2 linked regions of the Arabidopsis thaliana genome follow. The protein of the gene in region 1 interacts with the protein of each later gene in a pairwise test. Each region holds a gene or a part of one and is shown in the gene's direction. Other genes may lie near its edges.

Region 1 (3,899 bases):
CTTTTACCAAGTTATTAGTGTATACATAAATTGAATACCAAGATATTTATGGTCATAACTTTTAATTGATACTAATACGTACAAATCTACGCATGCGTGCAGGTATGCGTCTGCGGATATAAGAATGATGCTTAAGAATGGTATTACATGCGCATAGTTTTAAAGAGAACAATTTATAAAGGAAGCAGAGGAAATATGATATGTTATGCATGGGTCGAACCAGCCTGTATTATCGATTAATTAACCCTCTTTTTCTTATAACTTTGTCGAATTGACTACTAGTACTAATTAACACCATTCGAAATTCTTTGTCATGATCTTTTGGCCACGAGTATCTTTATAAGAAAACTATTGTCCATTCAATAATTTATTTATTTTTTGGTTGGATTCAATAATTTTTATTTACTTTATATATATAATCAGTCCGGCCGAGATATCGTTATTTAGTCGAAAAGGGAATGAATGAGAGAGTCAACAAGTAGTGTGAGTGTCTCACTTGCCATTCATTTCAACAATCATAAAAGAAATCTTAATTTATTCACATTTTTATTATAACTTATCTATTCACGTTACAACAATCATAAGAAGAAATCAAAAATATATATAAAAAAAAAACTTAATCTGTTTCATGTTATAATAATATAAGGGTCAGGTTTTATAACTCCAGTTTTGTTTTTGTCAATTTCTCAATTAAGTTTCATAGTTGTAACGTCGCGTTGAACTCTAATTTTTGTGTTTTTCTCCGATCCAGTCAAATGTCTGATGACCCACACCCACCAAGACACCGACCCATATTACTCCTCATTGAATACATCTTATAATTAAGTAGTTAATATTGTTTCTTTGTCGAGAATTATAATTAGAGTGTATGTTGTTAATAAACCATAATTTCCACCCGCTCATTTATCATTATTGTTATGAAAAATAAATTAGGGATGTCAAATATTAAGATATAGGCTTATAGTTTCGGTTAATTGGATAAAAAGAGTTTGCATTAATTACAGTAAGAAAAAGTAAGAAAATATAAACGGTGAAATGCACGAGAATGAAACAGAGAGAGTTAAGCAAATACGAAGTGGTACACTCGAAGAGCGGTGGTTATACGGATCCCATACGTCTCACGTGAAAGAACAAAAATATAAATAAAAATTGATTCTCTGTTACATCACTTTTTTTTTACAATTTTGCTCGGTCCAAATATTTTTGGTTTTTTTTTTTACAATTTTATTTATTTGATAAAACAGCTGTATAATAATAACGAGTTGTTGAAACTTGTGAATCAGTCTAACTTTAAATTTCTATAGCAAACAAAGTCTACAGATTCTGTTTGAAATGGAGTACTCATTCGCTTATGCAATGTTTGATTAGCAATTACTCGTCTATCTAAATCTGGATAAAAACTACTAAACTGGTATTAAGGTATCACCCAAATAAATATATAATGAGCTCACTGACAAAATTGACCCAAACAAACAACAAACTATATCAAATTTGTTTCCTTAAATTATAGAAGAGTATTGTTCAGCTATACTCCATTTGTATACAAGTATGGTTCATGCTACTTTGTTTTGGTAAAAATGGTTTTGATACTTTTTACACAAAGTTTAAAAAATGATATGCTACTATACCCTTGCAAAATTTAATTGACTTTTTTGAATTTTATTCTATTGATTTGATTACATAAAAAAATTACACTAAACTTTACAAAAATTAGTAAATTACTGCTAATTTTGAATTTATTTTGGAATATTGAAATGGATATAATATATAATATAGCAGGGGCACAAGTGGTGTCTACATGAGGAATAATAAATGGAATATGTATATCTAACTTAGATATATTAACCATAAATAAAAGAAAAAGTTCAATTATTTGAAGGAAAAAAAAAAAAAAAGTGAGTCTGGTTTAGGAGTGGAGTGTGTCTATAAAAGATAGATGCGAGAGACGAAGCTTGCTCCACTTTTTCTTCTTCTTCTTTTCTCAATCTTTCTCTTTCTCTCTGTTCTTGCACTCGCAAATCGCAATGGATTCGTTTGATTTCGATAACGTGAAAGCAGAGAAAGCCAAGGCGTTGCGGCGTTTCAACCGCTTCTGTAGAATTGGCCGTTTCTTCCGTGCGGCGGAGGTTTGCGTCGCTCTACTCTTCATCTTTTGGACATTTTCGCAACTTCCTTTCGTCGTTCAAATCTCCGGAGCGTTTCTCCGCCGTATCGCCGCCGTCATATCTACTCCTCTGTTCGTTTTCCTCCTCGGGAACTCCATCGTCGTTGTTCTTCTCACCAAGTCTTCCGATCAGACAACCACCGCCGTCGCAAGCGCAGAAACCGAAATCTACCAGGCGTTCGTCAGATCTGTAGAGAATCGTTCCAAACCGTCCGATGAAGATTTGACGGAGGGGATTGTCTACGACGACAAACAGGTGATCGTTACTGATTTGGATTCAAATCCGAATCTAACGGTGGATGAGAATATGCCTCACGTCGAGATTGACTCAGATTCGAGTCCCCATAGTAAGGTCTATGGAAGAAGCAAATCAGACGTGTCTGGAAAACAGAGTTCAAACATGGTGATGATGATGATGAAACGTTCTCTTCAGAGATCGGAGACAGAGAAGTTCTGCAAAGAAACTGAGAACGATGATGACTCTGAGGAGGAGAAGAACTATCCAGAGGATGATCTGAGCAACGAAGAGTTTCAGAAAACGATAGAAGCTTTCATAGCAAAACAGAGGATGTTTCGTCGTCAAGAATCTTTAGCCGTCGTTGTCCATAACATAGCCTAAATATCTTTTTATATCTATATCAAAAAAGCATCAAATTCTAATATAAATCGAATCAAACAACAAACAAACAAAGTTTTGTGAAAGTTAACCATTATGGAATCTTGTTTTTTTATAAAAATATTCCATGTATGTAGTATAAATATCATCTCTATGTACAGTAATTTTAGTTGCTTATGTATTAAGAAAGATATGTAATCTACTTGTCTCAAGTGAGTGTCACTTCCTCAGTTTTAATGATACAGACTTAGAGTAGAAATGTTGTCTCGCCACACTCAAAATTATGACATTACCAAAAAAACCTTTTTAATAAGCTTTAGTGATATCCAAGAAACAATCGATTTGGGTCTGTCTTTTTCTCTTGCCATGAGATCTTCCGGTTACTTTTATAAAAAAGTAAAAATCAATAGCATTAATAAACTAATACTAGAGCTACCTACAATTTCCAGAAGGCAATCCAGACTTTAACCTAGGATGTTCCAAACCCTAGAATCCCTACATCCTTCGGAAATTTGGTTTCAAGCTTCTTAACTAAACACGAGCCAATCACTTTGTCAATTATATTTTGTATGCCTATTTAGTATTTACTGTATCTTTCTATTTGGTAGATGACAAAATCCTTATATACAAAAAAGACTTAATCTAGTCATCTTTCTTCAGTTTCGCTCATAATGGCGTTTTGGACTTTTACACCGACTAAGTCTCATGCCTGCAATAATTAACTATGCAAGAATGTACTCAGTCAGACTCATGGATTTCAAGCGTGGAGATTTGTACATTAAATCTATAGATTAGATGCAATATCCAGAAGAATAATAAATTATAAGCGTGTATCAAATTCAAATCCGAAGTAGACCGTAGGTAGACACATGCACACACCAATACACATGGTGTGGTTACATAATTTTTTTTAAAAAAAGAAATATTATGTAAATGAAATTGATTAATAGTGAATGTTTATAATGGGATTGGAGACAATTGGAAAGAGAATGCTTGATTTTGTACCATTATTTTAAAATTGAAGGAAGCTTCATTTCTAATGCTTCACGGGAATGATTGATGGTCTAGTAAGTCAGTCATCTCAATGATCTTGTAGCCTTCAATTATAAGATTAATTGT
Region 2 (4,712 bases), on another chromosome or scaffold:
AACAGTAAAAAGGTTTCCGAATGGATATATTTAAATGGACTCGTTATTATGGACACCAAACCATTGTTTGTTGATTTTTCTTTCGGTTTGCAGAGACCTCTACCTTCAAAACCTTATGGACATGGAACTTTGGTTTCTTTACAAAACACGGTTAATCGAATCTCCTGTTATTATTGACATGGTATATAGAATGAATATAGATAAGTAGAAAGGTTTTTGAATGGATATATTTAAATGGATTCGTTATTATGGACACCAAAACATTGTTTGTTGATTTTTCTTTCAGTTTGAAGAGACCTCCACTTCCAAGACCTTATGGACATGGAACTTTGGTTTCTTTACAAACCACGGTTAATCGAATCTCCTGTTATATGGACATGGTATATAGAATGAATATGAATCAGTAAAAGGTTTTCTGAATGGATATATTTAAATGGACTCGTTATTATGGACACCAAAAAATTGTTTGTTGATTTTTCTTACAATTTGCAGAGACCCCACCTCCAATACCTTATGGACATAGAACTTTTACCAAATTCCTGAGATAATCGAGATCAAATTGTTTAAGAAACTTCTCCAAAAGTTATGGAGACGTGGAGAGAGAGAGAGAGAGGCGCTACAAATCATGGAGAGAGAGAGAGAGAGATTTTATTTATTTTGGGTAAGGATCGTGGAAGAGGAATAACAAAAAAGAGAAATTAAGAATTAAAAACATAAATATTGAATTGAGGGTAAAAAAGTCTTTAAAAAAAAAGAATTAATAGAAAAAGTGTCTATTTCCTATAAACTGCCTCAAACGGAAAAACATTCTCTAAAAGTGCTTAATAGTGGAACATTAATCGCATGACAATATAATAAGACGTAAAATTTTTGGTCTTATCATATGCAAATACTTATTAATAAGGAAATTTTGGTCTTATAATATTGCAAAAACTGATTTTTCTTTGTTTACTATTCATCCCTATCACAATTCACAACATTAACAAAAACTTTCTAATGGATTTTTCTTCAACTCTAGAACATTGCAATTCCTTTTCAACTCTAGAATATCAAATACCGTTTAAAAGACAAAACTATCAGTTAATGATGTCACAAATTACTCAAAAAATTAACACTCTCTTAATAAGAAGAAGACTTGTATTTTAATAATAAGAAGACCTCGTGTGAAACGAGATCAATTACAACTTTATGTATTAGACTTTTTGACAAATTCACAACGGTCATCAAATGGAAACAAACAAAACGAAGGCTCCTCTTCAGGCTCTCAACGGTCACTTGCTTAGAAGCTGCGACTACGACAAGCAAAAATACTCATCCAATGAAAACGACGACGTATAGAACCTAACGGTCGTTTTAAATTCTTTAAGATTCTATTTTTCATTTAATTTAAAAAGGAGAAGAAAAAAAAAGTGAGTCATCAATGAAACACTTCTTTAACACAGATACGTTACCCACATGCCCAATTATTAGCATTCGTTTCCTTTTAGACGTGTTTTTGACTTCATTTGAAATGTCTGTTTTAACCTCACAGAGCAAACCCAATAAATCGCTTACTTCATCGTTTTAGCTATTTTAGACTGTGAATGACCGTTTTACCCTCCAACATTCTCTTTTGTACTATCTGCTGTGTTTTATTGAATTTTATTCTACGTTACAAAGGGCCTTTCTTCTTATTTGCAATACTCCTCTTTTTGTTTATGATAGTTCTAGTCTACTAGACATAATTTGTTTTTATTATTAAATTGACATAAAGTTACCAAAAATTGAATGATTCTTATTTTGGTTATGAAAAAATATTGGAATAAAAAATCTCATGGATATATACATTTTTCATTATTAAGAAAAAATGATATTTTCCTTTATTTTGCCAACAAAAAAAAACTGGTCAACAAGAGTAGGATTCAAGCTAATTTTGTTTTCCTCAAAATAATATCCATTTTGTAGAAAGTAAAAGGACAACATAAATAAAGGAAATGAAAGTTGTAAGGGCATAAATGTTATTTACAAAGTCAAAGAGACTGAAAAACTTTGAATAAAGCTCGATAAACACGGACTCTAATTCATTCAATATTCATTACCTTCTTCTTTCCTTTATATTTAAAAACCTTCTTCTTCTCTCTCTGTACATCGTCACAACAAAAAAAAAACAGAAGGAGAAGAAACAAAAACAATAATCTCAGCAAAAACAAATCTCTACTCATCGAAATCGAAATCAAAATATAGAAACGATGTCTTGCTCCGTCGCCGTATGTAATTCTCCGGTGTTTTCACCGTCGTCTTCTCTATTCTGCAACAAATCTTCGATTCTCTCGTCACCGCAAGAATCTCTTTCTCTAACGCTTTCTCATCGCAAACCTCAGACCTCTTCTCCTTCCTCTCCATCCACCACCGTTTCTTCTCCTAAATCTCCATTTCGTCTCCGTTTCCAGAAACCTCCGTCCGGATTCGCTCCTGGTCCATTATCTTTTGGATCTGAATCTGTTTCTGCATCCTCTCCTCCGGGAGGTGTTTTAAAGAGGAAACGACCTACAAGGCTTGATATACCGATTGGTGTTGCTGGATTTGTAGCTCCGATTTCTTCATCGGCCGCTGTGGCTGCGACGCCGAGAGAGGAGTGTAGAGAGGTTGAGAGAGAAGGTGATGGTTATTCTGTTTATTGTAAGAGAGGAAGAAGAGAAGCTATGGAGGATCGTTTCTCTGCTATCACCAATCTTCATGGAGATCGTAAACAGGTAATTTTAAATTTCAAATTCATTTTTCAGTTTTGGTTTAGAATTGAATTGAATTGGTGATTTTGATTCGATTGATTAGCAATTACAGCTCAAATTAGGGTTTATCATGTGAGATCTACATTGATTGGGTTAATAAGCTATCTAAAATTAGGGTTCTTTGGGGAAAATTGAAATTCTGAATAGAATTAGAAGTTTTACAGAATCATATGAAACAATTGTGTGCTTATTGATGAATCGTGTATTCTAAACGTTGTTTTGCTTTGTGATAATTTCTCAGGCGATTTTCGGAGTCTATGATGGTCATGGAGGAGTTAAAGCGGCTGAGTTTGCAGCTAAGAACTTAGATAAGAACATTGTAGAAGAAGTAGTTGGTAAGAGAGACGAGTCTGAGATAGCTGAAGCGGTGAAACATGGTTACTTGGCAACAGACGCGTCGTTTCTTAAGGAGGAAGACGTTAAGGGTGGTTCATGCTGTGTCACGGCTCTGGTTAACGAAGGGAACCTTGTTGTGTCTAACGCCGGTGACTGTCGTGCTGTTATGAGTGTAGGAGGTGTAGCTAAGGCTTTATCTTCTGATCACCGCCCGTCTAGAGACGATGAACGGAAAAGAATTGAAACCACGGGAGGATATGTTGATACGTTTCACGGTGTTTGGAGAATCCAGGGATCTTTAGCTGTGTCAAGAGGAATTGGAGATGCTCAACTTAAGAAATGGGTTATAGCTGAACCAGAGACAAAGATTTCGAGAATCGAGCATGACCATGAGTTTTTGATCTTGGCATCTGATGGTTTATGGGATAAAGTGAGTAACCAAGAAGCAGTAGACATTGCTCGTCCTCTCTGCTTAGGAACCGAGAAGCCATTGTTGTTAGCTGCCTGTAAGAAGCTTGTCGATTTATCTGCTTCACGAGGCTCGTCTGATGATATCAGTGTGATGTTGATCCCTTTACGCCAGTTCATATAGAAAAGAGAGGCATCTTAGAAGATTTTAGATATATGATAAACGTTAGAAATTTGGAGGTTTTATATGATTTAGTTCTTTTGTTTAACTTGATCCATTCATTTATTTATTCTTTCTAACTTAGTGAACAAAGCTAAACTCATTGTGGCTTATGATTACTTGTATGATTCGAGCATTGGCCGAAATTAATCTAATAATCGGTTCGTTATATATCTTGTCATATGTTTCAAGATCCTGCAAATTTCTCTACAGTACAATACCAACACAGTGCTTGGAAGAGATTGACTCAATCTGAATCAAAGATTCCTTGTTTTGATGAATTTCAATTCACAACTCCAACATACATGAAGTTCATATTGAGATGCAACGTGAAAGAAATCGACATGACAAGTGATCCTGGTCAAAGAGTCACACGGCCAATATTGTTTTAAAGTGGAACGAAGGTACAAGAGAAGTTGATCGAGAAAACAAGTTCAACCATAAAGAGAGTTTTCTTAGGAAAAAGGAGAAAAACAAACAAAGTCCTCAAGTTTGACAGGCTAACATAAACCATTGGGCCGGACACAAACCCGAATAGCCCAAAATATATTATTTGTTCACATGTGTAGTTTAATTAGTTTTGGTCTTGGATCTCAAATTCTCAATCTGTTTTCATGCAAACGTAAGATATGTTTTTATTTTGTCTACTAGTTAAAATCTCGTTAAATCTATTCATTTTCGTGTTTTTCACATTCAGTCTGGTTAGACATTGAGACCAATACAAACCACTTAGAATTTTGGCTGTGGTTGACATATATATCCTAACAATGTTGTTAATTGTGACAATGTTGACATGGATTAAGAACCATAATTTTCGATGAATTACATATTAACAAGAGTGAAATGATGTGCAAATTAAATTGAACATATACATTTTATGTACATATAAGAAACAAGCAAAAACAAATATGTGCGGTGATAATGATTACCGACATGGATAAGCCGATAAAAGGATAAGAAAAATAAAACAAAAGATTGAG

The links.
Region 2: the proteins of AT5G66440 (region 1) and AT2G30020 interact in a protein complementation assay, tested with the Arabidopsis thaliana proteins (one large-scale study listed by BioGRID).

What each region holds. Positions count from the first base shown.
Region 1 is NC_003076.8:26,529,158-26,533,056, reverse strand, and holds AT5G66440 (tRNA-methyltransferase non-catalytic subunit trm6MTase subunit), read left to right. Parts: upstream 1-1,880; 5' UTR 1,881-2,024; coding exon 2,025-2,783; 3' UTR 2,784-3,138; downstream 3,139-3,899.
Region 2 is NC_003071.7:12,812,209-12,816,920, forward strand, and holds AT2G30020 (Protein phosphatase 2C family protein), read left to right. Parts: upstream 1-2,062; 5' UTR 2,063-2,228; coding exon 2,229-2,732; intron 2,733-3,009; coding exon 3,010-3,696; 3' UTR 3,697-4,152; downstream 4,153-4,712. UniProt on the Arabidopsis thaliana protein: Protein phosphatase that negatively regulates defense respones. Inactivates MPK4 and MPK6 MAP kinases involved in stress and defense signaling.